4 linked regions of the Diceros bicornis minor genome follow. The protein of the gene in region 1 interacts with the protein of each later gene in a biochemical or structural test. Links are inferred from orthologs where the notes say so. Each region holds a gene or a part of one and is shown in the gene's direction. Other genes may lie near its edges.

The links.
Region 2: the proteins of E2F1 (region 1) and SP1 form a complex in vitro, tested with the Homo sapiens proteins (4 studies listed by BioGRID and IntAct). The link is inferred for Diceros bicornis minor from reciprocal best matches to the Homo sapiens genes E2F1 and SP1.
Region 3: the proteins of E2F1 (region 1) and cyclin-dependent kinase inhibitor 2A-like form a complex in vitro, tested with the Homo sapiens proteins (2 studies listed by BioGRID). The link is inferred for Diceros bicornis minor from reciprocal best matches to the Homo sapiens genes E2F1 and CDKN2A.
Region 4: the proteins of E2F1 (region 1) and RBL1 form a complex in vitro, tested with the Homo sapiens proteins (2 studies listed by BioGRID). The link is inferred for Diceros bicornis minor from reciprocal best matches to the Homo sapiens genes E2F1 and RBL1.

What each region holds. Positions count from the first base shown.
Region 1 is NC_080758.1:26,081,903-26,089,156, forward strand, and holds the start of E2F1 (transcription factor E2F1), read left to right. Parts: upstream 1-4,240; 5' UTR 4,241-4,332; coding exon 4,333-4,593; intron 4,594-7,254. UniProt on the Homo sapiens protein: Transcription activator that binds DNA cooperatively with DP proteins through the E2 recognition site, 5'-TTTC[CG]CGC-3' found in the promoter region of a number of genes whose products are involved in cell cycle regulation or in DNA replication.
Region 2 is NC_080756.1:16,909,869-16,917,327, reverse strand, and holds the start of SP1 (transcription factor Sp1), read left to right. Parts: upstream 1-4,451; 5' UTR 4,452-4,558; coding exon 4,559-4,565; intron 4,566-5,118; exon of another isoform or gene 5,119-5,447; intron 5,448-5,629; coding exon 5,630-5,787; intron 5,788-6,103; coding exon 6,104-7,459. UniProt on the Homo sapiens protein: Transcription factor that can activate or repress transcription in response to physiological and pathological stimuli.
Region 3 is NC_080761.1:44,432,244-44,440,171, reverse strand, and holds the start of cyclin-dependent kinase inhibitor 2A-like, read left to right. Parts: upstream 1-4,920; 5' UTR 4,921-4,956; coding exon 4,957-5,082; intron 5,083-7,928. UniProt on the Homo sapiens protein: Acts as a negative regulator of the proliferation of normal cells by interacting strongly with CDK4 and CDK6. This inhibits their ability to interact with cyclins D and to phosphorylate the retinoblastoma protein.
Region 4 is NC_080758.1:22,932,589-22,940,413, forward strand, and holds the start of RBL1 (retinoblastoma-like protein 1), read left to right. Parts: upstream 1-4,817; 5' UTR 4,818-5,067; coding exon 5,068-5,223; intron 5,224-5,421; exon of another isoform or gene 5,422-5,533; coding exon of another isoform or gene 5,534-5,536; exon of another isoform or gene 5,537-5,570; coding exon of another isoform or gene 5,571-5,702; intron 5,703-6,819; coding exon 6,820-6,953; intron 6,954-7,825. UniProt on the Homo sapiens protein: Key regulator of entry into cell division. Directly involved in heterochromatin formation by maintaining overall chromatin structure and, in particular, that of constitutive heterochromatin by stabilizing histone methylation.

The sequences.
Region 1 (7,254 bases):
CTGTAAAGGAGCCTTTGCCCCTCGGCCTATGGATGGGGTAAGCAAAGCCCTTCAAGTGGGTGCATCACTTCCTCAAGGTCATCTAGCCAACCACATGGCTGGGGTCTGCCTGACTCCCAAGGCTTGCTTCCATGTTAGCCTCGGATGAGTAAGAGGCCTGTGTTCAGACACAGCCAGAAAGAACTGGCACGGTGACAGAGCATCTCCAGGGACAGTAAACCGTCAGTCAAACAGAGAATTCAGTGTAGCAACAAGGGATCATTCGAGACAAACGTGATGCTGCAGACATAAAACTCCCCACCTCCCTCTGCCAGAACTCAACAATGGATGTCTCTGTGCCCCTTAATAAAATTAAGTCACTACAGAATCATTTCTCCCAATTATGCACTCGTTATAATGATGGGATGTTCCTGTTTGGAGATTTTTTTTTTTTTCAAGCTAAGAGTGTATGTTTAGGGAGGTGGTATATGTAGAATAAATAACTTTGAATTATTTGTGTCTTTTGTCAAACTTATTAATGAGCATATTGTGCAGGTACATAGAAATAATTCTGACTCTCCCACTGGACTATGAGCTCCAGGTATCAGAAATGGGTCTTTTTTGCTTCCAGCTGTTTCCCCAGCACCTAGCATAATGCTGACACATAGTAGGTACTGAATAAATATCTGTGGTTTGAATGAGTGAGGCTCAGAGCAAGTGAATTGACTCGTCCAAGGTCACACAGACCAAGGTTCCTTTTGCATCCACCTGATTTAGAAGCCCATGCTAGGGCCGGCCCCGTGGCTTAGCGGTTAAGTGCCCGTGCTCCGCTGCTGGCGGCCTGGGTTCGCATCCTAGGCGCGCACAGACGCACCGCTTCTCCGGCCATGCTGAGGCCGCGTCCCACATACGGCAACTAGAAGGTTGTGCAACTATCTACTGGGGCTTTGGGGGAAAAATAAATAAATAAATAAATAATTAGAAGCCCATGCTATCACTTCTACACTATCCTGCCTCTTGGCAAGAATCGCGGGGAAAATGTCTCCAGGCCCAGGATCGTGGGCCCAGGAGCTTACACCCCTTTGGACTCCTCTAGAGTAAGGAGTTGGTGGAGGTGGTGATGGGGGTGAGCACCTGCTAACTGAGCCATTATCCACCATAATACCTTTTGGAAACCACACATTGTAATCTTGACAGCCCGAGCCTAGCTCTTGGGGTGTTTACAGAGGATGACATGGTATGAAGGGCAGGCCCTCCCGGGTTTTGCAGTGAAACAGGCCAAGTTCTCATCTCAGTTCTGCTTTGCGACCTTGAACTGCACTTCCTTCCTCCTGCACCATGTGGATAAACAAGCCTCACTTATGGGATTATCAGATTGAAAGGAGATTATCAATGGAAGTGGCTGCCCAGTAACTGTGGATGTTCTGGAAGCCTCCCAGCCTGAGGAGAACTGTTGATGTTGAGAACAGCCTTATCAGGCTCTGCCAGGCTTGGGGCCAAGGGAACCCATCTCTCAGGCCTTTGCTGCTTTCAAGTGGGTATTAATAGATACAGAATGCCCTTATCTCTTCCTTGATTTCACACTGGGAATTCTGATCTTCGCTCCTTTCTGCTGCAGCAGAACAGGAGAGATGGTGGGAAGGAGAGCACTGGCTTCTACCTGGGAGGCTGTGTACTTGAATACTTTGGGGAAAGGCAGGGCTTTGAAACACCTCTGGCTTTAGCCTCACCAAGCCTGAATAATAGCCTTTCATATGCTAGGTAAGCTTGTGCCCTTTGGGCCTCAGTTTCCTCATCATAAAATGGGGCAATAATAACAATATCTGTCTTTTCCAGCAACCAGTACAGTGCTTGGCACATGGCACGTGCTCAATAAGTGTTTGTTGAGTGACTATTGGGTATGAGAGTGCTTTACAAAAAGTGAATGTTACTGTTATTGAGACCCTTTGGGAAGGTGTGGAGGAAGGAATCTCCATCTGGAAAGGGAGTGTTACTGGCTTATCTCACCCTCTGTCAGGGTCTGGCTTGGTTATTTGATTTTATTTTATTTTTTTTTTGTGAGGAAGATTAGCCCTGAGCTAACATCCAATGCCGATCATCCTCTTTTTTTGCTGAGGAAGATTGGCCCTGAGCTAACATCTGTGCCCATCTTCCTCTACTTTATATGGGACGCCGCCATGGCATGGCATGGCATGACAAGCGGTGCGCTGGTGTGCACCCGGGATCCGAACTGGCGAACCCTGGGCCGCCAAAGCCGAGTGCGTGCACTTAACTGCTTGAGCCACCGAGCCGGCCCCCTGGCTTGATTATTTTAAATGAGACCTACCATTCCAATAGTAGCTTCTCTAACCGGGGAGGAGAAGGGGGACAGGCTGGCCCCAGGAATGGGAATCCAGTGTAGGCCCCATTCTATCACTGGCTGGCTTCACAGGTCCCTACCCCTGAATGGGCCTCAGTTTTCCCATCTGTGCAGCAAGAAGCTTGTGTAGTCTTTGTGGTTCCTTCTAGTGCAGACACAGTCTAGGATCTGCAATGAGTGATTTCACAAACTGCTTAGGAAACTCCTGCTGCTTTCCTAAACCACCTCATAATTTATAAAACACTTTCAGATCCCTTAGGCTTTTCATCCTCATGGCAGCCCTGGAAGGGGCCAGGGCAATGTGCCCATTTTACAGATGAGGAAACTGAAGCTGAGAAATACCCTCAAGGGGCTGTAATTTGAGGCTGCACCACACATTTTGGTTATACGGGTATACCAATTTGTTCTCAAATGGGAAAAGCACAGAAAAATCACCTGGAATGGGGATCGGGGGCTGCTTGTGAAAATGTGGATTCCTGGGCACTTAGAGATTCTAAATTGGCAGGGCTGGGGTGGGGCTAGAGTTAACAAGTGCCCAGGTGATTCTGAAGCCAGGGGCCTAAGGACTACTCTTGCAGAACCAAGGCCTCCTTGTGGCATTCTAGGTGGCCTCTGGCATCAGCCTCTGTGTTTCTTTCCTAACCCTTCTAGGTACCTGCTCTGGGCCAGGCCAGTGTTGGGAAGAGGCCCCAGTCTGGTAGGGGAGGTAGATGGAGAAACCCAGTGTGTGGTCAGTGCTGGAACAGAGGCAGCATCAGGCAATGGAGGACTCTGGAGGGCTCCCTGGAGGAAGTGATGTTCATACTGGGCCTAGTGATTTGATTCTTGTTTGTGTCTTAACTACTTTTTTTCTTGTGGGTCATCCCCACCAGATGGCAGGCAAATTCGTGTAAATCATGAATTTCACATCTCTGCCCTCAGTGCTGGCACAAGGCCTGACAGAGGAGGGGACAATATTGGTCAAACCAGCTGACCTGCACAATGAGAAATGGCTGATGGAGAGGTCCCAGGGCCTCCAGATTAAATGCATTTTCATGCTCAGCACCCTCACCTGCTCCCTTGGTGAGGTCTAACATGGAGTCACTTTTATGGTGGAAATTCCTCATCGTATCGTAAACATGTGTTACCTCTCTGTTCCCCTCCTCCCTTTTTCACTAAACTGCGAGTTCCTTAGAGCCAGGAGTCAAGAATGGGGCACAGAGCAGGCTGTCTAAACGTTTGTTGAATGAATGAGTTCAAGCAGAAGCTGTGTATGGGCTATTGAAGGGATTCCAGCTATAAGGGAGCTTGCAGGAAAATCCCAAACTGTATTAGGCCAGAAGTCCCACCCCCATTTCCTAGCAGCCCCCTTCTGCTTGGGCTCTGGGTGACAGGGGCTTTGGAGGTGGGCCTGAGAACCCAGAAAAGAGGAGGGGCAGTTTCTAGAGATCTGGGCTGAGGGTATTGGGGCTACAGGTGGGGGAGGGGTGGGTCGGGGGGGTCTGGGGGTCACGTGGGGTCTGCTGATGGTGAGATGTGCAGAATAGACGCTCAGTCCTAAGGTCTCCACAGAGGATCAGCAGCGTGAGGTGTGTCCGGGGGCGGGGCCACCACGCCTCGGGCCGGGGCCGTCCCGGCTGCGCGCGGGGAGTGCTAACGCGCCTGGCACCGCCCCGACAAAGCCTGCGCGCGCCCGGTCCCGCGATTGGTCGCGCCGCCTCGCGCCGCCGCCCCGTCCCGCCCTCCGCCGCCGGTCCGGCGCCCTGCAGCCAATGGGCGCCGTCGCCGTCGCCTCCGTCACGGCCCGGACGGCCAATGGTGGCAGCGCTCGGCGGCTCGTGGCTCTTTCGCGGCAAAAAGGATTTGGCGCGTAAAAGTGGCCGGGACTTTGCAGGCAGCGGCGGCCGGGGGCGGAGCGGGATCCGGAGCGGGATCGAGCCCTCGCCGCGGCCTGCCGCCATGGGCCCGCGCCGCCGCCGCCGCCTGCCCCCCGGGCCGCGCGGGCCGTGAGCGCCATGGCCGTGGCCGGGGCCCCCGCGGGCGGCCCATGCGCGCCGGCGCTGGAGGCCCTGCTCGGGGCCGGCGCGCTGCGGCTGCTCGACTCCTCGCAGATCGTCATCATCTCCACGGCGCAGGACGCCAGCGCCCCGCCGGCCCCCGCCGGCCCTGCCGCGCCCGCCGCCGGCCCCCGCGACCCCGACCTGCTGCTCTTCGCCACGCCGCAGGCGCCCCGGCCCACACCCAGCGCGCCGCGCCCCGCGCTCGGCCGCCCGCCGGTACGGACACCAGGGACTCTGGGCTGAGAGCGCTGCCTCGACCCCCCGCGCAGACCCGGGCGGGGCGCGGTGTTTGGCCCGGAGGCCGCGGGGGCGGGGGAGGGGTGGGCTGAGGCGCCCGGCCTGGGCGGTGCCGAGCCTGGGCTGAGCCTCCGGGCCCCGCCCCAGGGTGCGGGGTGACCTCGGGCCAGTCCTTGTTTGCTTCTCTGTGCTCTGGGCCTCAGCGTCCTCACCGGAGCCTCGCGTGGGTCAAACTCAGAGATAATAATGGCCCACGTGTATTCAACTGGCGCAGACTGCATGTCAGGCCTGGCAGACTTCGAGCCAGCTAAAACTCACAACCATACTGAGAGCTCGGTGACCCATCTGAACTGAGGCTCAGAGAGGGCAAGTGACTTGCCCCGGTCACACGGCTGCAAGTGGTGGGACTGGAATTTGAACTGAGGGCTGCTGGCTTCAGACCAGAGCTTGTAGCTGAGTAGTGGGCATGGCTGCTTGGGGAGGTGAAGGAGGGTGTCCTGGGGCCAGACCGTTGAAGAGCCATTGAGGAGATCCTCCTTCCTGCCTCAGCGCTAGATTGCCAGGTGCAGGCCTGGGCCTCTGGGGACAGGCCTCCTGGCTGGGAGGCCTTCTCTGCAGGGGCGGGGTGGCTGGGCCAGCTGCTGATCCCCTCCCTCTGCCTGTCCTTCCATCTGCCACCCTCCACCCGCCCAGGCTCTGGTTGCTATGGAACCTCATTAATCAGGCAGGCAGACCCCTCTGCCCCTGTGGAAGTACTGGGTAGGCTGGGCCTCTGGGAGCTGGAGAGGAGGCCCCCCACCGCAAGGAGAGAGTAAACATCCCTGGGAGATGCCTTGATAAAGTGCTCCCTGAACAGCAAGAGGCTTAAGACCAGTTCAATCTGGGGGGTCCAGAAGAGGTGGGGGAGAAGGGAGTGGAGGCCTGATGCTTGGACTTGTGGGCTGCAGGACAGGGTGTGGAGACCAGTTTGACTGGCACAGCTTGTGAGTGAAGGTGGGGCGAGCAGGAGGGGTCTCAGCAGGGGGCTTGGAGCAAGTGGGAGGGGTGAGGCAGGGCCCAGCGCAAGGAGGTGGAAGCTGCCCAACTGCTGATGGGGGCCTGGGTGGCAGCTGGTCCCTGAGGCATCCCGGCAAGGCTCCCCCAATCTCCTTGGCTCCATGCCCAGTGCTGCCTTCCGGAATCACCAAGATGCTAATACTAATAACAATAGCAGCCACCATTGTTTTGAGACTGTTTTGTGTGTCAGGCTCTGTGCCAAGCACTTTACCCAATTAACTTGTTTAACCCTCTCAACAACCTTCCCCTTTTACAGATAGGGAAGCTGAGGCCTAGAAATCTTAGAACCTTCCCTAGTCATTCAGCTAGTGAGTGGTAGGACCAGTCCAAATTTCCCGAGCAGTTAACTGCTGTGCTAGGATGCCTTGCCTCCTAGAGATGCTAACAGATTGAAGGAAGCCCAGGGCCCCTTCCTCCTACTGAGTGAGGAGGAGGGGGTCCCAGGATTGGGTCACCTGGCTTGTCTCCTATATCCTGGTGGCTTGTCCCTGCAGGTACCAGCTTGGGACCTGGACAAGTATCCTCCATTGAGCTGACTGACAAGTACATACAGGCCCAGGACTGTGGGTCCTGCCCTCAAGGAGCTGAGCTCCAGGCTCAGAGATACTTCCAGGGATGGGGCTGAGGAAACGTGCCCTCCGCTCCACCCCCAGTGGTGTTGGGGCAGCCTCACTGGGCCTGAGCAGTCCATTCATTCAACAGTTGTTGAGTTAGTGCACGCCCATTAGGTACTAGGCACAGAGGCAAGTAAGGAGCCTGTGCCCTCACAATACTTAAGGGCTAGTGGGCATTTTCTGCTGGTGGGCAGGGATGGGGGGTCAGCTTTTGCCCTCTAACACCCCCAACTCTTGTGCCTTTGAGTAGCCGCTGGCTGTATGCGCTGTGACCTCCGCCGACCCTCTGCACTGGCATTTGTTTGGGGCAGTCCTTGAAACAAGCTACAGGCTCAGCTTCTGCACCAGTGCGCATTCATAGAGCATCTCCTGCATACGAGGCTCTGCAATTCAGCCATTCCTCCTGGCTCTTCGTATCCACCTCTACCCTGTTGTCATGGCTTTAAAAAACAAACTAAATATAATACATATTTACTGTAGAAAAAGAGTTAAGAGGTGAAAGTTGAAGGGGGCAGGATCTCAGCCCCATCCATCCTTCCTTCTCTTTTCTTTTCCTAAGCCTATTTTGTGTGTTTTTTTAAAGGTGGTTATGACAGCTTTCCTTTTCCAAAGTTTTAAAAATTGTAGTTTTTCCTTTATTTCCGTGTTCAGACAGTGCATTGTTCACACTTTACAGAGAAGGCAACAATTCCTCATGGAACCTCTCCCCATACGGAGGTTCCTCCTGAAATGGATTCTATAATAACAGAAACCGAATCAGAGAAAACAGGTTTCAGGAGTTTTTTAATCCAAAAAGGGATCATATAAGTGCATTTCCCTATAGCATTTTTCTTGTCTTTGAGAGGATTCTGCGTCGACCTGCCTCAGTCCTTGACAGCTGCTGGTATTCCTGGGGCTGGATGAATCACGGTTTTTGTGGCCCCCTCCCGTGGATGGGCATTTTGGGTCATGAGATTTTTCACCAGTGTTC
Region 2 (7,459 bases), on another chromosome or scaffold:
CAGCAACTAGGAGGATGTGCAGCTATGACATACAACTATCTACTGGGGACTGGGGCGTTGGGGGGGAAAAAAAAAAAAGTCGTCGTTCTTATCAAAGATAAGAGTTTAAGAGTTTGGTAGACCAGAAGGAGGACAAGATGGGTGAACTGTGGTTCTGGACTTGGGAGACCCAAGAAAGCATGCTTTTGGGGAAAATGTCAACAAGAATGAAGTGAAGGGTAAAAGAGTGCAGTGGACAGAAATGGAAGATGAGCCTGAATAAGTGCAGGGCAGACCAATAAGAGCCTTGACTGCCATGTTGAACGGTACCACTTAGTACATGTGAGGCTTACTATGTTACAGCCAGGCATAATTCGTGTTCTTATGAGTGATTTTGAAGTGAAACAACTCTCAAATGATCCACTTTGCTTTTTAAACACAGTCATTAGGAGTTATTTAAATGACTTCACGAGTATAGACGGACACTGGCATGTGAGGGGTTTGAAAAGCCTTGAAATAAGTTTATTCATTTTTGTTTTTTTGTGTTTAGTCTAAAGAAAATTCATTCAGGTTTTCACAGAGTAATTGGAAAAGATGGATCATGTCCATTTGCTTTCAGGGACTGTCAATAAGCGAGCACATGTTGAGGACATCCCTACTGGCCAGGGTCTGAAGTCTGTCTTGTTCTGGAGAAGCAAAGAGAGAGTATTGTGAAAAGGGTGATGGCTCTTTTTTTTTTTTTTAACAAGACAGAATTTTTTTTTATTATATTTATTTTTTAAAATTATTTTATTTTTTGGTGAGGAAGACTGGCCCTGAAACTAACATCTGTGCCAGTCTTCCTTCTATTTTGTATGTGGGACGCTGCCACAGCATGGCTTGAGTGGTGTGTAGGTCCGCGCCCAGGATCCAAACCCACGAACCCGAGCCGCAGGAGCAGAGTGTACGAGCTTAACCACTACACCACCAGAACAGCCCCTATTTTAGTTTATTTTAAATTTCAGGGGCCGGCCCGGTGGTGCAAGCAGTTAAGTGCGCGCGCTCCGCTGCGGCGGCCCGGGGTTCGCTGGTTCGGATCCCGGGCGCGCACCGATGCACTGCTTGGCAAGCCATGCTGTGGCGGCGTCCCATATAAAGTGGAGGAAGATGGGCACAGATGTTAGCTCAGGGCCGTCTTCCTCAGCAAAAAAAGAGGAGGATTGGCGGATGTTAGCACAGGGCTGATCTCCTCACAAAAAAAAAAAAAAAATTTCAGGTGTATGTCATTATATTTTGATTTCTGTGTAGATTACATCATGTTCACCACCCAAAAACTAATTATAATCCATCACCATACACATGGGCCTAATTACCCCTTTTGCCTGCCTTCCTCCCCTCTTCCCCTCTAGGATGATGGCTCTTGAATTTCTCAGTCTAAATCTAAGCCTTGTTCTCAGTGCCTGGGATAAAATCAAATCCTAGTTCCCATTTCAGGCATGGACTAGCTTAGAACCATGGAAAATACACAAGCTTTGGAAACTAAACAGAAGTCATAATTTAACTGAAGGATCTGAGCCTCAGTTTTCTCATCTGTAAAAGAGGATTACAGTTTCTTAGATTGGGTGAAAGGATTAAGTTAGAAAATATATGTGAAACGTTCAGAGGACTGCTCCACAATCTTAGTCGTCCTGCGTCCCACCACCTCCCCCTCAAGTTTAGATGTGGTCTTTTGCTGAATACACTAACCAGCTGTTAGAATCTCTAGAGCTTGGTTTACAAAGATGAGTAATGCAGTTCATTCCCTCCAGGAAGTTCCTTCCCTTCTGAAAATTTCATCTCTCTAGTCTCTTCCTTTAGTGTTTCTTAAACTCCAATTTAGGCAGTCACTTGAAAGAGCTACTTAAAAAATGCACATTCTCAAGTCCCACCCCAGAAAATCTGATTTATTAGGTCCAAGAGGGGGGTCTAGGAATCCATCTTTTTTTTTTTTTTGGTAAAGATTTTATTTATTTATTTTTCCCCCCAAAGCCCCAGTAGATAGTTGTATGTCATAGCTGCACATCCTTCCAGTTGCTGTATGTGGGACACGGCCCCAGCATGGCCGGAGAAGCGGTGCGCGCCCGGGATCTGAACCCCGGGCTGCCAGCAGCGGAGCGCGTGCACTTAACCACTAAGCCACGGGGCTGGCCCTAGGAATCCACCTTTTTAAAAAGGCAGCCCACGGGGCGGCCGGGTGGCATAAGCGGTTAAGTGCACGCGCTTCGCTGTGGTGGCCCGGGGTTTGCCGGTTTGGATCCTGGGCGCGCACCAACGCACTGCTTGGCAAGCCATGCTGTGGCGGCGTCCCATGTAGAGTAGAGGAAGATGGGCACGGATGTTAGCCCAGGGCCAGTCTTCCTCAGCAAAAATAGAGGAGAATTGGCAGATGTTAGCACAGGGCTGATCTCCTCATAAAAAAAGAAGAAAAAAAAGCAGCCCAGAGGATTCAGATAGAGACTCCCTGACATTATATTTTGAGAAACTTTGATCTAGGGAGAGCTGCTTTCAATTAGAATGTAATGTGATGTTTTATAATAAAACTATACAAGAGGATGATGCCATCTGAGCTGTCCTGAAAGTATTTTTTTTTTCAGGAGCTAGAAGGTAACAATAAAAAAGCATTTTTTATAAACAATTAAAAAAAAACTTTTTTAATTAAGTCCATTTTTATAAATGGTTATACAGGGCATTGCTATATTCACTTAAGAATTTATAGAAGACTTTTTGTGGGACTATTCTGGGTTGGAATTTGGCACTACAACTCATTAGCTTTGTGACCTTGGGCAAGTTACTTCCCAGCCTAAATTTCTTCACTTATAAAATACATAATAGCTCTAGTATTTACTAATATCTTCCTTATGAGGGTGACATAAGGAATGCAAAACGCCTAACTGACTTAGGCACCTAACACAGTAGGCATTCAACAGTCATTTCACCTTATTCAGGCCCTGTCCAAAGCAGCAGAGGCCTCAGTTTTAGGGGAATCCAGACTTAAAAACCTCACAACATATCACGAAGTGCTGAAATTGTAGAAAATGAAGTGACAACATCTAAGATACAAGTACTACAGAGAATGACCTCCTTATGTCATTGCCAAGCCACCCAGGCTGCCTCCACCAAAACTAGGATAAAGGAGAGGCAGAATGGGAGGCCAGAAATTCAGGTGCTTCGGGGAAAAACTCCTTCAACCTTTGTAGCTGCAAAAAGCAGGAATCCTCTCTATCTTGTTTTATGCTTAGAAAAGTGTTTACAATTAAGGGGGAAAAAGTAAGTGGCTTATGGGACCTTGACTCTGGGTGATTCTCCAATGCACTTTAGCCTCAGGAGACAAGCTCTTGAAAAGTCCACCCGCCCTAAGTGAAGTGGTCAGCACCTCTGGGGGAATTCAATAAAATGGCGCTTGCCGGAGTCTCCCAAAGACCTTGCAAATTTGTCAGCTCGGTGTTCACTGGCTGTGTGCGCGCCGTCGCCAGATCTCGTGGCGTCTGCACCCACAGGGCTTACACCCACACTCAGAGGATCTGCCTGCCTGTCCGCCCACCCCGGGGAGGGGTGAGGCCCGAGAGGACTTTTAAGGGCGGTTAAATGAAGACTCAAACGAGCATGGGTGACAAGGCATAAGCGCACGCCGAGTGTCGTGGCCCATACAGTTGTGGAGCTGCAAGGCTCCGCTGACGCGCACCACCTAATCCCTGTAAAGACGTCCCTTGAGAAGGTCCAATATGGCGACGGACTCCTCCTGGCACAGCCCTGTTCCCTCCCCCACGACCGGCGGCTCTAGTAACGCCCATTGGCCAAGTTGGAGGCGGTGCCTGGCTTCTTTCGCCGCCTCATTGGACTGAGTGACTGAGGGAGACGCCAATTCTCCTCTGCCCACTCCACGTTCCCGCCCTCAGAGTTCATTCCGCGTTTAATTGGCCTTTGCTTTACGTCAATTTGCGTCCTATCTTGTCTCTTTTCAGTGTTAATCCAATCATAACTTCCCTGGCTGCCCGCCTGATTTCTGATTGGTTTCGATCAGCTTCCTATCCCGTTGCTGCCTACTTCTTACCTCTCGTCCCACCAGAACTTTGCCCAGGCATGTCCAGGGTTCTGGTTGGTCGTTATTCTGTCATTCCAATCAAAGCTCTTCCTATCCCTACGTCTGAGGCAGCCCGCCTGCCTGTTGACTGGTTTCTTTCCAAGCCTATCATCTGTAGCTTCCGCCCATCCCCACTTCCTTCGTCTTTCATTGGCTTTTAACACTGAGAGGGCGGCCTTTTTGGGCGGACACCAGACACGCAACTTTGTCTTACACGCCTCAGAGAGCAAGCGAGTCTTGCCATTGGGTAATCTGCCCGCCTTTCTTCTGCAAGTCCCTCCTTTCTCCCTCCCTCATTGGGCGGGGCAGCAGTAGTGGGGCGGGGCATAGGCCGGGCTTGTGGCGCGCTGCTCCCTCCTCCTTACCCCCCCCCTCCCTGTCCGGTCCGGGTTCGCTTGCCTCGTCAGCGTCCGCGTTTTTCCCGGCCCCCCCCAACCCCCCCGGACAGGACCCCCTTGAGCTCGTCCCTCAGCTGCCACCATGAGCGGTAAGGATGAGTCCACTCCAAGCTTAGGGGTGGGAGGGGAGTGAGGGGGCGCGCGCGAGGGCCGACCGGGCGGTCCCCGCCGTGAGGGGGGGCGGGCGGGAGGCGGCGGCGGCGGCCTTGGTCCCGCCCGGGGCGGAGGGAAGGGAGGGAGAAGGGCAGTGGCGGGGCCTCCGAGGAGGAGGGGGATGGGCCGCCCGCCCCGGGGGAGGGGGCAGCGTGGCCTCGCCCGCCCCCTGCCCGCCCCGGCCACGGGGGACGGGCCTTACCCCCCACTACTCGGCCGCCCGCCTGAGGCTCCTCCCGCCGGGGGCTGGAGCCGCGGGGGCGGCCCGAGCAGTGCAGGCCCCGCCCGGGCCAACCGCCTCCCTGGTTCGCCCTCTCGTCGCTGCCTGCCCCAAGGCCCTCCCCCCCCCGGTAGGTTTCCCCTCCCCCCCCGTCCCGCCCTTTCCACGCCCCTCACCCCGAAACCGCCCTTTCCCTCTAGGGTCCGCCTTCCTCCATCCGCCCCGAAACCTCCTGATTTCTAACCCCTGGACTCCTTTAGCCCCTCACCAGTGTTCACAAATGCTCCCCCACTCACACTTAGCTCTTCTTTCCCCTTTTCCCCTTCTCTCCTCTTGTTCCTTTTTACACTTGAATTTTCCTCTTTCTCCATCTTTGACCCTAATTTTAGCAAGCTTTCCATCCACCCACATGTTTTTTGCTTTACCTATCCTTCTCCTTTTTTTCCCCAGAATACTTTTTCTTATTTTGGAACTCTTTCAACATGCCCACCGCCCCTCACCTTTCTTATACGGGAAGTACTTTTTCAGTGTTTTCTGAGTTTAGTTTTGTGCAAGGGAGAATTGAGGCCCAGTTTTGGCAGTACCGGGCCTAGTTCAGGTCTTACACGTCTTATAACTGTCCTTTCTCCCCCAATCCATTTTTTTTTTTTTCTTTTTCACACTGGCGCCTTTCACCTTCCTGTTAGTCATTTCTGTTTCATCATAGTCTCCTTTACCCTTCCTCGCTTTACCCTTTTCCTTCCCCCGACTTTAAGTTGTTTGTCTTTTAATTCCTCGTAGATCAAGATCACTCCATGGATGAAATGACAGCCGTGGTGAAGATTGAAAAAGGCGTTGGTGGCAATAATGGGGGCAATGGTAATGGTGGTGGTGCCTTTTCTCAGGCTCGAAGCAGCAGCACAGGCAGTAGCAGCAGCAGTGGAGGAGGAGGAGGGCAGGTAAGTGATGATCAGGATACAGTTGGGGAAGGTGTTGAGAGGATGTAGGTATTCTTAGATGGTTGTCTTCCTTTTCACAGAAAAATTTTTAGGAAGAGGCTGAACCATTTTATAGATAGGGAAGTAAGCCCAGAAAGGCAAGTGACTTGGAGATCCCCAAAGATGAGAATTTTAGCGATATAGATAGGTCAGGTTTTGGTTGTGTTTTTTTGCTCTTTGTTTGCACTGTGTTGCTGCTTATTTGTTGTATACTGCCCTCTGGGCTGGCAGCTGGGTGTCACTAAACTAACTACTTTCTTCTGTATTTTCTGGCCAGGAATCTCAGCCATCCCCTTTGGCTCTGCTGGCAGCAACTTGCAGCAGAATTGAGTCACCCAATGAAAACAGTAACAACTCCCAGGGCCCAAACCAGTCAGGGGGCACAGGTGAGCTTGACCTCACAGCCACACAACTTTCACAGGGTGCCAATGGCTGGCAGATCATCTCTTCCTCCTCTGGGGCTACCCCTACCTCAAAGGAACAGGGTGGCAGCAGTACCAATGGCAGCAATGGCAGCGAGTCTTCCAAGAATCGCACCGTCTCTGGTGGGCAGTATGTTGTGGCTGCCACTTCCAACTTACAGAACCAGCAAGTCCTGACAGGACTACCTGGAGTGATGCCTAATATTCAGTATCAAGTAATCCCACAGTTCCAGACCGTAGATGGGCAACAGCTGCAGTTTGCTGCCACTGGGGCCCAAGTGCAGCAGGATGGTTCTGGTCAAATACAGATCATACCAGGTGCAAACCAACAGATCATCACAAATCGAGGAAGTGGAGGCAACATCATTGCTGCTATGCCAAATCTACTCCAGCAGGCTGTTCCCCTCCAAGGCCTGGCTAATAATGTACTCTCAGGACAGACTCAGTATGTGACCAATGTACCAGTGGCCCTGAATGGGAATATCACTTTGCTACCTGTCAATAGCGTTTCTGCAGCTACTTTGACTCCTAGCTCTCAGGCAGTCACGATCAGCAGCTCTGGGTCCCAGGAGAGCGGCTCACAGCCTGTCACCTCAGGGACTGCCATCAGTTCTGCCAGTTTGGTATCATCACAAGCCAGTTCCAGCTCCTTTTTCACCAATGCCAATAGCTATTCAACAACTACTACCACCAGCAACATGGGAATTATGAACTTTACCACCAGCGGATCAGCAGGGACCAACTCTCAAGGTCAGACACCCCAGAGAGTCAGTGGGCTACAGGGGTCTGATGCTCTGAGCATCCAGCAGAACCAGACATCTGGAGGCTCACTGCAAGCAAGTCAGCAAAAAGAGGGAGAGCAAAACCAGCAGACGCAGCAACAACAACAAATTCTTATCCAGCCTCAGCTAGTTCAAGGGGGACAGGCCCTCCAGGCCCTCCAAGCAGCACCATTGTCAGGGCAGACCTTTACAACTCAAGCTATCTCCCAGGAAACCCTCCAGAACCTCCAGCTTCAGGCTGTTCCAAACTCTGGTCCCATCATCATCCGGACACCAACAGTGGGGCCCAATGGACAGGTTAGTTGGCAGACTCTTCAGCTGCAGAACCTCCAAGTCCAGAACCCACAGGCCCAGACAATCACCTTGGCCCCAATGCAGGGTGTTTCCTTGGGGCAGACCAGCAGCAGCAATACCACGCTTACACCCATT
Region 3 (7,928 bases), on another chromosome or scaffold:
TTCAGTGTTTCCAAACTTCTGTGCCTTTGCACGTGCTCTCACCTCTGCCTGGAACATCTTTCTCCTTTTACATCTCTATACTCCTACACCTTTCTTCAAGACTAGGGTCAGCTTTCAGCATCGATGGAGCCTTTGCCTAAGCCACCAGAATGAGTTTGGTTGCCTTTTCATTTTCTTCTGTCACCCTCTGCTTCTTTTTGCTCTTCTACACACATTACATGTAATACCTCATTTAATCCCTACAACAACTGTTTGAGGCCAGTGCTATTGTTATTCCAGTTATACAGATGAGAAAACAGAGGCCCAGATACATTAAGTAACTTTATTCAAAGTTATAGAGTGATTAAATGAAAAGTCTAGGTTTGAATCCAGGCAGGCAATCCAATTCTAGAGACCATATCTTGAACACCTACCCCACTCCATGCTCCACCCTTAGCCTCTGAGCTTGTTGAATGAATGAACAAGTGGTAATCTTTTTTCTCTGCCAATGCAGCATAAACCTAAACAAGGCCATGACATTCTCAGGGAAGAAGAAAAGTAAGTTTGGGGGTGATAATAAGAATAACCAACAAACTTTAAAATTTACAAAAGCTCTTTGACATACATCTTCTTATTTTATCAACTCATGAAATATATTATGATTCCATCTTACACACGGAAAAGAGCTGAGACTGGCATAACCAGCACTGGCATCTTGGGCTTCATATTTTATTTCTTCTGAGGTTTTGCCCCTTAGGTCTGAGATAATATGGAAGGGTAAATTGGGAGTGTGGTAGGTTCTTTAAGAGAAAAACTAGGAAAGCTTTCACACTATTATTAACTACATTTTATGCAAGATTTCTAATGGAGTATTGGGTCAATTTCCAGAACAAAGGGGCCACACCCAAGGATACCATAATCTTTTGAAAACTCTACTGCAAGTGCTAGAGCTAGTAGTAGACACATGTCTAAAACCTGTTCTTGGGAGAAGCCAAGCTCCATGTCTGCATATAATGCACCCAAGGGATATTTTTATATGGTTCCATCAGCCATCAATGTCCTTCAACAACAGTCTGATATATTGCATAAGGTTAAAACAGTTCTTTTTTTTTTTTTTTTGGTGAGGGAGATTGGCCATGAGCTAACATGTGTGCCCATTTTCCTCTATTTTGTATATGGGATGCTGTCACAGCACGGCTTGATGAGCAGTACGTAGGTCCGCTCCCGGGATCCGAACCTCTGAACCCCAGGCCACCAGGGCAGAGCGTGGAAGCTTAACCACTACGCCACCAGGCCAGCCCCTAAAGAGTTCTTGATATAGGAATCCATAGTTGAGTTTTAGACGAATTTCTGAATTCCCTGTAAGTTATATTCAGAAATGCATGTGCAAGGAAACACACTTTTTTAAAAAAATTATTGCATACTTTATTTTTTGAGGAGAGGGTCTACGGCTTTCAACAGATTCCCAAAGGGGCCTACTCACCCTGCCCCAAGATTAAGAACCATTATTTTAGTGATGGAAACTAATTTTGATCTTGGTCTAAAAGCCAGACATATTACAAGGGAAATCTGTTCCCTCCCTCCCATCAATACCTTAAGCTACATTGAAAGAATTTTATGTTCTCTACCACAGTTTGAATTTTCCATACCATTGTTGTCCAAATAATTGAGAGGTACCTGGAGGAAAATATAGATAGCACAGTAATGCACAGTGGATTTTTATAACAGATTTGACATCCCACCTGTTTTAATTGGCATCATTTTAAAAGCAATTGAAAGTACAGTCAGGTATTCTGGGTCTTCAAGAGATGTTAACCAGGGATTGAAACATAACTTTTAAATAGAGCTGGGTTATCTAGTAGGCAGATTAAGCATATCCTTAAGGCATCAGCAAAGCCTGAGTAATTCAATTTTTTTAAAAAATCTATATTTTTTTAAAAGTGTAAAAGTAATAACCATGGGAAAAATTAGAACCTTGTTGGATTTTCTTTCACTTGTTATGCTCTTAGTTCTGTTTAACTTTTCATTACATACGAGGGTGGTGGAGGGTGTCTATCATCTTTTCAGTGATTCAGGTCTTCTTGGGCTTCCCTTTTATATACTATTGATAATTCTATCAAAAGCATGTTCTTCTCTGTGCCTCACAACAAGGTTGCAAGCGAACCCTCAAAATGGATAATTTAAGAGCTAACTGGTATTAGCTTAGGATGTGTGGCACTGTTTTAAATGCTTATATGTACATCAATTCATTTAAAACTCACAACAGCCCTATGAAGTAGGGACCACTCAGCCCCCTATTTTATAACTAAGAAAATGGTAAGATTTTTCCAGTAGGAAGGAGAGGTGTAGGGGGAGGGAGAGGAGCAGCCCCAGGACAGTGTGTGAGCCTGGTCTCTGAATCACTATGCAACTCTGTCTCTAGAGTGCTAAGCACTTTTTCTGATCTAGGAGGGATTATTTATTAAGAACGGAGTCTAGGGAGCCGGCCCCATGGCGTACTAGTTAAGTCCAGTGCACTCTGCTTTGGCAGCCTGGGTTCAGTTCCCAGGCACAGACCTACACCACTTGTCAAGCCATGCTGTGGTGGCCACCCACATAGAAAACAGAGGAAGACTGGCACAGACATTAGCTTAGGGCTAATCTTCCTCAAGCAAAAAAAGAAGATTGGCAACAGATGTTAGCTCAGAGCGACTCTTCCTAGCCAAAAAAAAAAAAAAAAAAAAAAAAAGAATGGAGTCTATCTGAAAGTAAGACCAGAAACTATAAAACTCCTGGAAGAAAACATAGGCAGTAAGCTCCTTGACATTACCCTTGGAAATTTTTTTTTGGATCTGATTCCAAAGGCAATGGCAACAAAAGCAAAAATAAATAAGTGGGACTACATCACACTAAAAAGCTTCTGCACAGTGAAAGAAACCATCAACAAGATAAAAAGGCAACCTACTAAATGGCAGAGGATATTTGCAAATCATATATCCAATAAGGGGTTAATATCCAAAATATATAAAGAACTCATATAACTCTATAACAAAAAAAATCACACAATCTGATTTAAAAATGGCCAGAGAACTTGAATAGACATTTTTCTAAAGAAGACATACACATGACCAATAGGCACATGAAAAGATGCTAAACATCACTAATCATCAGGGAAATACAATCACAACCACAAGGAGATACCACCTCACACCTGTCAGAATGGCTATTATCAAAAATGACAAGTGTTGGTGAGGATGTGGAGAAAAGGGAACCCTCAGGCACTGTTGGTAGGAATGTAAATGGTGCAGCCACTTTGGAAGAGTATGGAGGTTCCTCAAAAAATTAAAAATAGAACTACCATATGATCCAGCAATTCCACTTCTGGATATTCATCCAAAGAAAATGAAAGCAGTAATTCAAAAAGATATATGCACCCCTATGTTCATTGCAACATTATTTACAACAGCCAAGATGTGAAAACAACCTAAGAGCCCATCCACCAATGAATGGATAAAGAAGATGTGGTGTATATAGATATATACACATGAAACACTACTCAGCCATAAAAAAGAATGAAATCTTGCCATTTGCAACAACCTGGATGGACCTTGAGGGTATTGTGCTAAGTGAAGTAAGTCAGAGACAGACAAATACTGTATGAGTTCACCTATATGTGGAGTATAAAAAAAAAAATACAAAACTCAGAGAACAGATTGGCGGTCTCCACAGAGGTGGGAGGCTTGAGACTGGACAAAACGGGTGAAGGAGACCAAGAGATACAAATTTCCAGTTATAAAATACATAACTCATGTAATGTACAGTGTGGTGACTATAGTCAATAATATTGTAATATTGCAAATTTAAAAGTTGCTAAGAACGTGAATCTTTAAAATTCATATCACAAGAAAAAAATTTTATAATTTTACATAATAACAGATGGTAACTAGACTTATCGTGGTGATCATTTCGCAGTGTATACAAATATCGAATCATTATGTTGTACACCTAAGACTAATATAATGTATGTTAGTTATACTTCAAAAAAAAAGCAAATGGAGTCTACCAGTCCAATGACCCCTTTGCCACTTTCCTCTCTGCTTATAGGCAGAAATCTCCACCATCCCTGTTGAATAGACCTCATCTTCTGGGGGTCAGCCCTTATACCAGGCACTAGTACCAGGCATTGCGCAAGTCTGGGAGACTCTCGCCTCCGACATCCGTTTTACACGTGTGTGTGGGGGAGGCAGGGGAAAGGCTGGCAGGCGGGCAGATTCTCCAAAATGAACGTTTGAATTAGGATTTCTGGCATTGTGGACCCAGCAGGAGAAAGCCAAGTGCTGAGTGGTGGAGAAGGGAGCATGTCCTCTAAAAGAAGGGAAGCCTCATAGTCATACCGTGATACCGACTCTCAGCCGTTTCTTCTGATTAAAAGAGGAAGCAATACTTTGCCTATACTTCAAACACCCTGGTTCGAACATGGCAGTTAGGAATCCTGTGCAGCTTTCTAATGCCAAGGGTTTGTACAGGGGAGGGAGGAAACGAGGGAGAATCTGCGCCTTATGAAGTGAACTCGCTCGAGCCCCGTGTGCGCCTGTGCTGGAGTGGGGAGCGCAGCGCGGGGAGGAGGGGCGCGGGGACGCGGCAGAGGCAGGTGGGGAGGGGCCCCGGGCGCCCTGCCCCCTCCGCTTCTTCGGGCTGCTGGCACGGATTGCTTCCGGCCGGTGCCCCCGGGCGAGCTGCCCACCGGTGACGGCAGAGGCCCCGCGCGGGGCGACTTCAGGAGATGTGACATCTGCAGCGTGTTCCGAGCCCAGGGCGCCTCCTCGGAGAACACTTGAACGCGCTCCCGCAGGGGGAGTCGAGGGGCAGAGTCGGGGGCCGGCGGAAGGCGGAGGCAAGAGGAGGGGCCGGCTGGTCACGAGAGGCTGGGGCGGGCCGGTGGCGCTCGGCGGCGGCGGGAGGGAGGGAGAAAGCGAGGGGCGAGCGTTGGGGAGCAGCATGGAGTCCTCCGCCGACAGGTTGGCCACCGCCGCCGCCCGGGGTCGGGCCGAGGAGGTGCGGGCGCTGCTCGAGGCGGGGGCGCCACCCAACGCGCTCAACCTTCACGGTCGGAGCCCGATTCAGGTGAGTCGGCGGGAGGAGGGGATGGGGGCGGCTATAGAGGACGAGGTTTGCAAAGGAGTCGGAGCCAGGTAAGCGCTTCGATTCTCGGTAAAGGGGAGACTTCCTGGAGAGTTTTCAGATGGAGTTTGGAGTCGGAGACCTCCTCTTGGCGACGCCTCGGGGGCTCAGGGAGCCACGGGAGAAATGAGGAGGCACGTGGAGTGCAGATCTCTAGACTGGACTGTAGATTTGGAGGGGAGAGCCTATTTGTGTTAATATAGACCGAGATGTGTTCTTTGTCAGACAAAATGTACGAACGTTTGAAATAAAACGCAAGATTTTAAAGAAATCTAAGATTTGCTGAGACTACTTTGCTCGAACTCACAGAGTCCTCAATGGAGCCTACCATCTTTCTTGCGAGGGGAGATTTCAGTGGAAATCTACTACTGTATATGTTGGAATAAATGTCCATTGGAATTATTCAGAAGCAACTACATATTGTATTTATTATTTTAACTGAGTAAGGAAAACATATGCTTGTGAAACTAGGAATTACAGACAGATATATATGAAGAAAAACATTAGTGTGACCTAGCCTGAAATGATATCAATTTAATTACCATTTTGGGGGTATCTCCTATTATTTTTGCTATTTTTAGCTTACTTGATATAGATTAACATATTTGGGGTAGAGTTTTCAATTCCTCATTTTTGAGAAATGCCTTTTTTCTCCTCCCTACCCTAGTTTTGTGTGTGTGTGTTGGGGGGAGGGGGATTGTGTGTTCTTGGTTGTTGTTTGCCTTCGCTAGCTTCCTAAATTTCAGACTAAAAACGAATTCTTCCTGGCAGTCGCCACCCTAGTTTTATTCTTGGTGTCGACAGTGATTTCTGATTCTGAAAAATAAATTTATAGGAAACAAATGCACGTTGCAAAAACTCCAGCATAACAAGACAAAGGAAAGTAATTCTATTTGGAACTTCACAAATTTCACAAGCGAATCTTCCTTTCCTAACTCTATGCTACATAGGATAAATTTCATACATTTTAAAATACAGAAATAAAAAACAAAACCAAAATGCCTTAAAACTTGAGATTGTTTGAGATTTGAAGTGTGGAGAGATGTTGAGACTAGAGAGGTTGCGTGAGGGTAGAAGTGAGGCATGAGTCCTTTAAAAATAAGGCACACATGATTCTTAATTTGATATCTCTAAAATTTTGCCAGCACCTTGGAGACTGGGAGTTTGGCCTTGCAGTTCTAGAATATGTTAGAAGAGACTTTATTTGTTTACATACAAAAAGAAAAAAGGAAGTTGGATAATTAGTTTTCACAATTTTTTAAATAGGGAAGATAAGAGCATAGAGAAAAGGGGACATGATTTTGGTTTAGAACACTAACCAAATTTGTGTTTAATATAAAAGTACTTAGTTTATAGAAATTACTAGTGAATTTTATTCTATTTTATTAATAGGTTATTTTAAATTATTAAATTAAATTTAATGTCTTATCAAATAGATTTAAGCACACTACAAATATTCATTTAATTGATTCATTTAATTTTTTGCTTTGGACTGCTATTATTATTATTTAAATATTAGGTTACTTTTCAGTCTTTTTTTTTTCAATTATTTTATTGAGGTCATAATGGTTTATAATGTGCTATTTCTTAGTCTTTAATACTGTAAAACATAATAAAAACTTTTAAAACCAGTTTTATGACCAAGATGAAGGACTTCATTGTATAAATTTTTTTTTATCCAATTTTCATTATATTTTCACCTGCATTGTATACAGATATGGAGATTGACCTCTTCCAAGAACAGGTTTTAGACATGTATATACTAGCTCTGCCACTTGTAGTAGAGCTCCCAAAAGATTACTCACTCCATAATCGATTAGAAATCTTGTGTAAATAAGTAGTTAATAATAGTGTGAAAACTTTCCCAGTTTTTCTTTTAAAACAGTGCATTGTTCTAATGCAGTACAATAGTTTTTCTTTCTTTCTGTAGCTGTAATTTAGTTCATTTACATCTTCTCTCTGTCTTTTTGAAAATTAAATCAGTTTCACTTTCTCCAGGACAAGAATCAACAGCCATAGTATAATTTATTATGATTCCTTGCTTTCAACAAATTAAGCAATTCGTATTTAATACAGAATGAAACTAAAAATAAGTACTCTCTCTTTATACAGTCACTATTGTACAGCTAGTATAACCAAATAATGGTTACCCTAAAAAAGAATTTTCTACCACCACCACCCACCATGCAACGCTTAGATTGCAAGGTTGCTGTGGACACTATTTAAAAATTCCTCTTTGGTAATGGCTTTGTGTCAGAGATAATTGAGCAGCTAAATGAGGTGAGCACCTCCAGTTTAATGAACTTCCAAGGTGTAAACTTTAGAAATGTCTTAATTTCCTATTTCTGCTGTAACAAATTACCACAAATTTAGTGGCTTAAACCAACATAAATTTATTACCTTACAGTTCTGGAGGTCAGAAGTCTAAAATGGATCCATAGGGCTGCATTCCTTTTGGAAGTTCTAAGGGAGAATCCATTTCCTTGCCTTTTCCAACTTTTAGTAACTGTCAACATTCCTTGGCTAATGGCCCCTGCATCTTCTTTCTGACCTCTGCTTCTATTCTTATATCTTCTCTCTGACTGTGACCTTCTTATAAGGAGATTTGTGATTACATTGGGCTCACCCTGACAATCCAGGTTAATCTCTCTCGAAATCCTTAATTTAATCATATCTGCAAAGTCCCCTTTGCCATGTAAGGTAATATATTCATAGTTTTTGAGTATTAGGAAGTAGATATCTTTGGGGGGCATTATTTAGCTTACCATAGGAAGGAATTTGGGGGCTGG
Region 4 (7,825 bases), about 3.1 Mb from region 1:
ATCAGAACTTTGTTGCACTTTCTTACATTTATTTTGTAGTTGAGAATTGTTTATATTTTGAATTACATTTGGGAGGGGGTGCACTATAATCTTTTAAGTCTTGGAGCCTCTAAAAGTTTTAATCAAGCTCTGGACACATGCTCTGGGGAACTCTGAAATATTAAACTACAACAAGGAGGCTAATCATAGAGGCTATCACACAATGGGATCAAAATAGAAACAACCTTCACCATGTATCTGGATCCAAAATGAAGGACAGAGTAAATCTATTTCACTTCATGTTCTATTCAAAAAAGCTCAGTTTAGTGTTAAATGGGCATGCCACTGGATAACAAGAAAAAAATTAAAACCAACATGAACCATGATAAAAAGTAGGGAGAGCATACTGATAAAACGGGGGGAAAAAAAAAAGCATGCAGGTAAGGCTGGATCTGATAGATGTGTCCTCCATGCTAAGCTCCCTAAATTTGATTCAGCCGGTAATAGTGAACCCCTGAAGAGTTGTGAGAAAGAAACTGACACGATATAAATCCCGCTTGAGAAAAACTAGAGTAGTAACTAAATATAAGATGGATTGGAAGAGAAAGTAAAAAATGTTGAAAGACAACTAGAAACCTGGTAGAGGAGGAATCCGCAAGATTTAGTGATTAGGTGTAGGGGATGAAGGAGCAGGGGAGTCAGTGATAACAAAGAGGACAGCACGGTGCTTGTTTTTGATGATTATGGCAGTACTGTTTATTGAAAACCAATGATAGTTTAGTTACAATCCAAAAGAAGAAAAAAAAAAAAAAAGAGCACTGCTTAAATCTGCTTTATTTCATAAGAGAAATAAGAGAATTCAAGAATATTTTCCTGGGCCGGCCCTGTGGCTTAGCGGTTAAGTGCACACGCTCCGCTGCTGGCGCCCGGGTTCGCATCCTGGGCGCGCACCGATGCACCGCTTCTCCGGCCATGCTGAGGCCGCGTCCCACGTACAGCAACTAGAAGGATGTGCAACTGACATACAACTATCTACTGGGGCTTTGGGGGAAAAAATAAATGAATAAATAAAATTATTAAAAAAGAATATTTTCCTCTTATCCTGGCCTCATTTCCAAAGCCTGTACTTTCTAATAATTCAATTCCGGACAGTCTGAGAACATGGCAAAAGGAAAAGTCACAGAAGCGAGTGATTGATTGGATGTAAACGGTGACAGATCAGGTGAATCAAAAGATAGGAGATGAAAATGGAAGGCTTTACACAGACAGGATACAACTTACTGAAAATCCAAACTTAGAGCCCAAATTCAGTCCTGAAGAGAAGAAAAAAACCTATAATGTTTCTCAGTTTTTGTTTAGTGGATGACCTTTGAGAGGTGTTTCTTTTGTTCTGGGATCATTTTCAATCCAGCAATGCCCCTCAATTCAAGTCTGGATGATCTGATAGTCACAGCAAAGGAAGAATCAGTATCTTGCACACTGCAAGCATTCAGTAAACATTTGTGGAATGAAGAAATGAAGGGTCTTCAGGACTTAGTATGCATAAAGTGGAAAAAGAATCAGGAGAATCAAATCCAGTAGCAAAGAAGAAATGGGCTATAGTACATATACTGCAACTCACCAAAAACCTAACTACTAAAGAGATGAAAAATAGGGCAATGAGTCTCTGATTTTGTTTGGTTTATAATTCCTGAGAGCTATTTCCTTCTATCTTGGTTTCTTTTCAAGGCCAGAATCACCCTCTGCAGTTCAGATCTGGATAAAAAAGAGATTGATTAGTTATAGCAAAGGAAAAAAACTTGAGGCTTCTCAGCTCTTGTGATCCTATCCAGGCCCAGCTGTGAAAGCTGGGATCCTATGGGGTAGACCTACTTTGATTCCATTTTTCCTCAAAAATTCTGTCATGATGTTTGCATTTGACAGACTCAGCGATATTTCTCAATAGTTATTCCAAATCTTTACCACTCTCAACTCCCTGCTGCATGTTGCTCTATTTTCCACTCAGCAGAGGACCTAGCAGGTCTGTTTAATCTAGATGTAAGGTGATAACCTTCCAGACAGGAGCTATTTAGAGGAAGGACAGGCTCTGGATTTCCAGCTTGGCCACCTTTTCCAGGGCGTGGCTATATCAATGATCTTTTTTTTAACTTCAGTCTCTCTCTGCCTGCTCCTGTTCCTGATTATTCACATGCTTGTGTTTTCCCTATCCTAGAAAATCCTCTTCCCTTTGCCTTGCCTCCACTAAACTTCTTAAAGAGAAGTTTTTACTTCCTACTTCAACTTTCTGATCTTCCTCCCATTAGCCCCTCAGCCTCAGTAATCTGGCTTCCACTCCTACTGTGCTAAAGAAAACTGCTCTGACAAAGGTCACTAAAAACATATGAACGATAATATTGGAGGTCTTGTTTGAATTCCTCATCCTATTTGAGTTCTCTGCAGTGTTGGACTCTATGGAATACTTCTTGCCTGCCCTCAGATACCGCTCCTCGTTTTTATACCTCTCTGGACAGTTTTTTGCACACTCCTCAAATTCTGCCCATCCCTGAAATGTTGGTGTTCCTAAAGGTTCTACCCTTGAGTCTCTTGTCATGCCAACACACTCCCTGAGTGATATGAACCTGCTCACTTGGCTTCAGATACTGCGTGAATATTTCCAAACCCATGTCCAGGCTGTCCCCAGTCCTGGAGCTTTCTCCTAAATAAGCACAGTAGGTTAATTAGAAAACAAGTGAGCTACTACAGGAGGACCTTCATCCATCTCACCTCTACTAACCCTGCCATTTCTTTGCTGACAAGAAAGGAAGTTGAGAGCAGGGATGATAACCCCTGTTATATACCCCTTGGCACTGGAGATAGATCTCCCCCCAACTGCCCATAACCACTCCTCTTTAAATAAACAAAGACTCGTGGGAGGAGAGTCTCTGTGCAGACACTATGCGCCAGCATCCTCTCCAGAGAATAATGAGATGGTCCTGAAGTCAGCTGCAGCGGTAGCTTCTAGAAGGAAACAGAGTTGGAAGTACCACACAGGTGGTTAAGTTTGAGTTTTTTGGGGGGAGTTTGAGTTTTTACTCATTTGAGACCTGACTTGTGGCTGATTCCCAAGTTGCACCCTCTCTATGTGTGGAGAATGCAGAAGATTGGAAAATTGCCAGGAGAGAGGGGCTACCTTCCAGGATCCGACTGCCTCCTCTTAAACTTCCTGCAAGCATCCCAAACATTTCCAGAACTGATCTCATTCTTCTGCTTGTACTCCCATTCCAGTTAACAGCATCACTTTTCACACTCTTGGCCCAGATGGAAACCTATGTTATTGGGGACTCCTCCCTCTTCAGCAGTGACCCCCTCAGTTCTACACCAGGGACCCCCACCTCCAGCCTGGCTCCTTCCTCTGCTGGATGAGCCCCCTACCACTTCCATACTTCTAGTCTCTACTCCATCCAAACCGTCTCACACAGCAGCCAGAGGAACCTGTTCAAAACACACACCAACTCATCACCTCCCTTTGTTAAAACCCCACTGATAATGTCCAGGCTTTTAGTGGGGCGTATGAGGTCCTTGGCAACCTACCTGTCTTCCACTTTCATCTCTGGTGACTCTTTCCTTCATCCAAGCAACAAGGGGCTCTTTGTAATCTTTCAAACACATCATGCTAAGTACTGAGTGACACTAATCTAAACTTTGGAATACAGTCAACATGAAAGGAAGGTCCCTGCTCTCATGCAACTCATTTTAGTAGGAAGAGCCAGTGAATAAACAAATAAGATAATTTCAGATAGTGATAAGGTGCTATGAAGACAACAAAATGGGGATGTTGGGGGGCAGGGGGCAGCTACTCGGGAGACAGCGCTCAGGGATGGCCTGAGAAGGTGACATTTAGTTGAATGATGAGGGGAGCCAGACAAGCAAAGATATGGTGTTGAGTATTTGGAGCTGTTTGATCAGCATGTGAGAAAGGCCTTGAGGCAGGAACCAGCTTGGCAGCTTGGCATTTTCAAGGTTCCGAAACAAAGCCGTGAGGCCGGGCCTTATTATATACCCGGGTGGGACAATGCCCCACGTGAGGTGGGGCCAGATCACACGGGGCCTTCTAGACCATGGAAAGGAGTTTGGATATTATTTTAATGGCAAGAGGAATCTACTGCAGGATTCTGAGTGAAGCAGTGACATGCTCTGATTTACCTTTTAAGAAGAGCACTCTGGCTCTTCCCGGAGAAGAAGTTTTGGTGGAGCAGAAGCGTAAGCTCCAAGGCCAGGCCAGGCCTTCAGGCTTATGCTCAGGCCATGCCTAAGCCTGGAATGACTGTCTACTGGGACGGTTCCCAGGGTCCAGTGGGCTGAGAAAGGGCCTCCTTACTGCAGTTCTCTCAGCCCAGGCCAAGCCTCGTTTAGCGATCAAGGAGAGAAGAGGAGGTGTTCCCTACCATCCCTGCCTCACCAACCCTTCAATCACTCGACAGACCACTCACTGGGCGCTGGAGACAAGGACGAGAGTCCGACGAGGCCCCCCACGGTCAAGGGACGACTTTTTTCTGTTCTCACCTCCATCTCTTAACTCAAGGGGCAAGTCTCAGTCAGACTATGTTTGGCGCAGCAGGGCAGTGACAAACCCAGGCCCATGGGTTGGCGGGGCAAAGGAGGCTTCTCCCTAAGATGAACGAGGCCACCTCGCAACAGGCAGCCCAGGCCTTCCCAGACCAAAAAGCCGCGGACACAAGGGCGGCGCCGCTGCCTTCAAGACAGGAAATGGACTACAACTCCCAGCACACTCTGCGCGCGGACTGCCGATCCCTCCGCTCCACATTTGCCCCGCTGGCTGTGCCCGCCGCTGCCCGCCAAGGCTCAAGCTCAGGTTTTTTTCAGGACCCAAGGTCCATCTTCTTATCACATTTCCGGAGAGGGACGGCAGGGAGCCCTGGAGGACAAGCGGACTTTTTTGAGGAGGAACGCGGATGCAGACTGTGGAAGAGACGTTGCTCTGTAGCTGCCGATTTTCGCGCGCTTTGGCGCGGGTGGTTGTGGGTAGCGCGCCCAGGAGGGAGAAAGGAACCGGGGGCTGTGACTGCGCCGCCCGCAGGGCCTGAGGGGATGTTCGAGGACGAGCCCCACGCCGAGGGGGCGGCGGTGGTCGCCGCGGCCGGGGAGGCGCTGCAGGCCCTGTGCCAGGAGCTGAACCTGGACGAGGGGAGCGCGGCCGAAGCCCTGGACGACTTCACCGCCATCCGGGGCAACTACAGCCTAGAGGTGAGCGGCGCAGGTGGGGCGGCCGGACAGACCCCCGCCAGGCCCCACCCCCGCCCCGCCCCTCCCCACCCCATCCTCTGGGGTGGTGGGAGTTCCCCACCCAGGAGGGTCGCTGCCCTGCCGGGCGCCGAGAAGTGCGAAGCTGGAAGGGCGGGTGCAGATTGATCGATCCTTTTTTTTTTTTTTCTTTTTTTTGAGGCGGGAAACTGAAGTCCGGAAAAGGAGCTGCTTGTCCAATGTCACACGCCCCTCAGGGGTCCCCTAGACTCCAGACCAGACTCCCTCCGCCCCGCCAGGCGCCACAAACGTCATGGTACTCCCCTTAAATCGATTAAAAAAAACAAAGGATGGTAAAAACTAAAATGAATTGTGTGCCGAGACGCCACTGCCAGCGCCACTGCAGCCCTGGAACAGGTTCCCCTTCCACAGATGAGGAGGCTGAGCCCCGAGAGGCGAAGCTGCCTGCCCGAGGACACAGGGTTGGTGGTGGGGCCGGACCGAGGAGTCTGGGCCACTGAACTTCGCCGTCTGCCTCGCTAGGGCGGAGGTGTGCGATGCTCGCGCTGGAGCGCTGCACGCCCCAGCATCTTGATCTGTAGTACTTGGATGCTGTTTCCCAACAATTCCCTAATCAAGCCTTCCAAAAACATTCCGCCTAAGCTGTCCTGCCTCGTTTAATGCCTTGAGCAGACAAGACCTCTCACCACTTTAGGGTGGGAACACTGGGTTTTAGCTTTATTGGTGGCCGCCCTTTTCTACCCACCCCTTTCGGATTGTTGCAAGAAATCTTTTTATCCTTCTAGAGTCTGGCCTTAAAGAGGATCTGCAGAACAGTAAATAGGAGCAGTATTATGTTGTGCTGTGCGATTTGTATCTAATTCTTTGTGTGTGTGTGTGTGTCTAATTCTTAATCCCTAAATTTCACATAGAGTTCAGCGATGAAGTCATCAAGTGATCCTAGCTTGGAGATGTCTCAAGTCTAAAGCAGAGAATTAAGTGTTGAATTCCCAAAAGTCATCTTTTTTGTAGCACTGTAAATCGAGATATCTGCTAAGATAGAGAGCCATACTTACTGTTTTAAAGATTGGAGTAAATCCTCCAATTTTTACCTCACAAAGGTGACACTCTCCTTTATGTTGTGCAAGATAGGTATTAATTTTTTATATGTGACTCCCTTGCCATCTTTCTACTCCGTCCTTTGCTTTCTCTGCCAAACTTAAAAAAGAAACATAAAACTAAAGTGGTAGAAAGGAACATCAGCATCAATTAAGGCCATGACTGGTGTTTTAAAATTGAGAAAGCTAATGCTAAGAAATTTTAAGAGAACTCTTTCAATAATGCTAGATTTGAAGTGTAGGTGAGAGATCTGTCTTTAGATTAATACTGATTTAGCCTGTTACACTTTACTGAGAGGAGTTTTGTACCCGTTACTGCAACTAACTAAGCTTTGTCACCAAGAGCAAATATCTTCACCTCTTTGACCTGTTACATGCAGAATGAAAATTAGACCAGACAATTCTAAGGTCTCTTCTGGTTCCAGAATTTAAGCATTTTAACATAATATATGCATTTTGCTGTTTGTCTTTTGCCTGCCAGGGAGAAGTTATACACTGGTTGGCATGTTCATTGTATGTTGCATGCCGCAAAAGCATTATTCCTACAGTTGGAAAGGGTATCATGGAAGGAAATTGTGTTTCACTTACCAGAATACTACGTTCAGCTAAGTTAAGGTAAAGCACTTTGATTTTTCAAACGTTGTTTTATATAAGTCCTAAATTTAATTTTAGAATTTAATTTCTCTTTATTTTAAATCATTTAACTTCATTTCATTCTAAGTTTTTTATCATATATGCATCCTTTCCCAATTCTCAGCCTTTCTTCCTCAAATTCTGACTTCAGCCAGAGGCCTCTATACTAAATCTTTTTTATCTGTAATTTTTTCATTAATTTTTTTATATCTGGAAATAATTTCAGGCTTTCAGAAAAGCTGCAAAAATAAGAAAAGTTCAAAGAACACCCATATATTCTTGACCAAGATTGACGTATTATTGACGTTTTACCCCATTTGCTTTGTCATTGAGCTTTCTCTGTTCAATATGTATATCTTTTTGGCCTTTTTTTTTTTTTTTTTTTGGTGAGGAAGATCAGCCCTGAGCTAACATCCATGCCAATCCTCCTCATTTTGCTGAGCAAGACTGGCTGTGAGCTAATATCCGTGCCCATCTTTCTCCACTTTATGTGAGATGCCACCACAGCATGGCCTGACAAGCGGTACGTCAGTGCACGCCCAGGATCCGAACCCCGGGCTGCCAGCAGCGGAGCCCAAGCACTTAACCACTACACCACGGGGTCTGCCCCTCTTTTTCTCTTAAGTAATATTTTTCCTCAACCACTTCAAAGTAGCATACGTTGTAGCCCTTTACCCCTAAATACTTCGGTGTGTATTTCCTTAAATAACTACAGTACACTTATCAACTTCAGCAAAGTTAACATTGATACAATAATTTTATCTAATCTGTCATCTCTAATCTAGTTTTATTAGTTGATCCAATAATGTTATTTATAGCATTTTTTTCTTCAAGTACAGTCTCCAGTCTAAGAT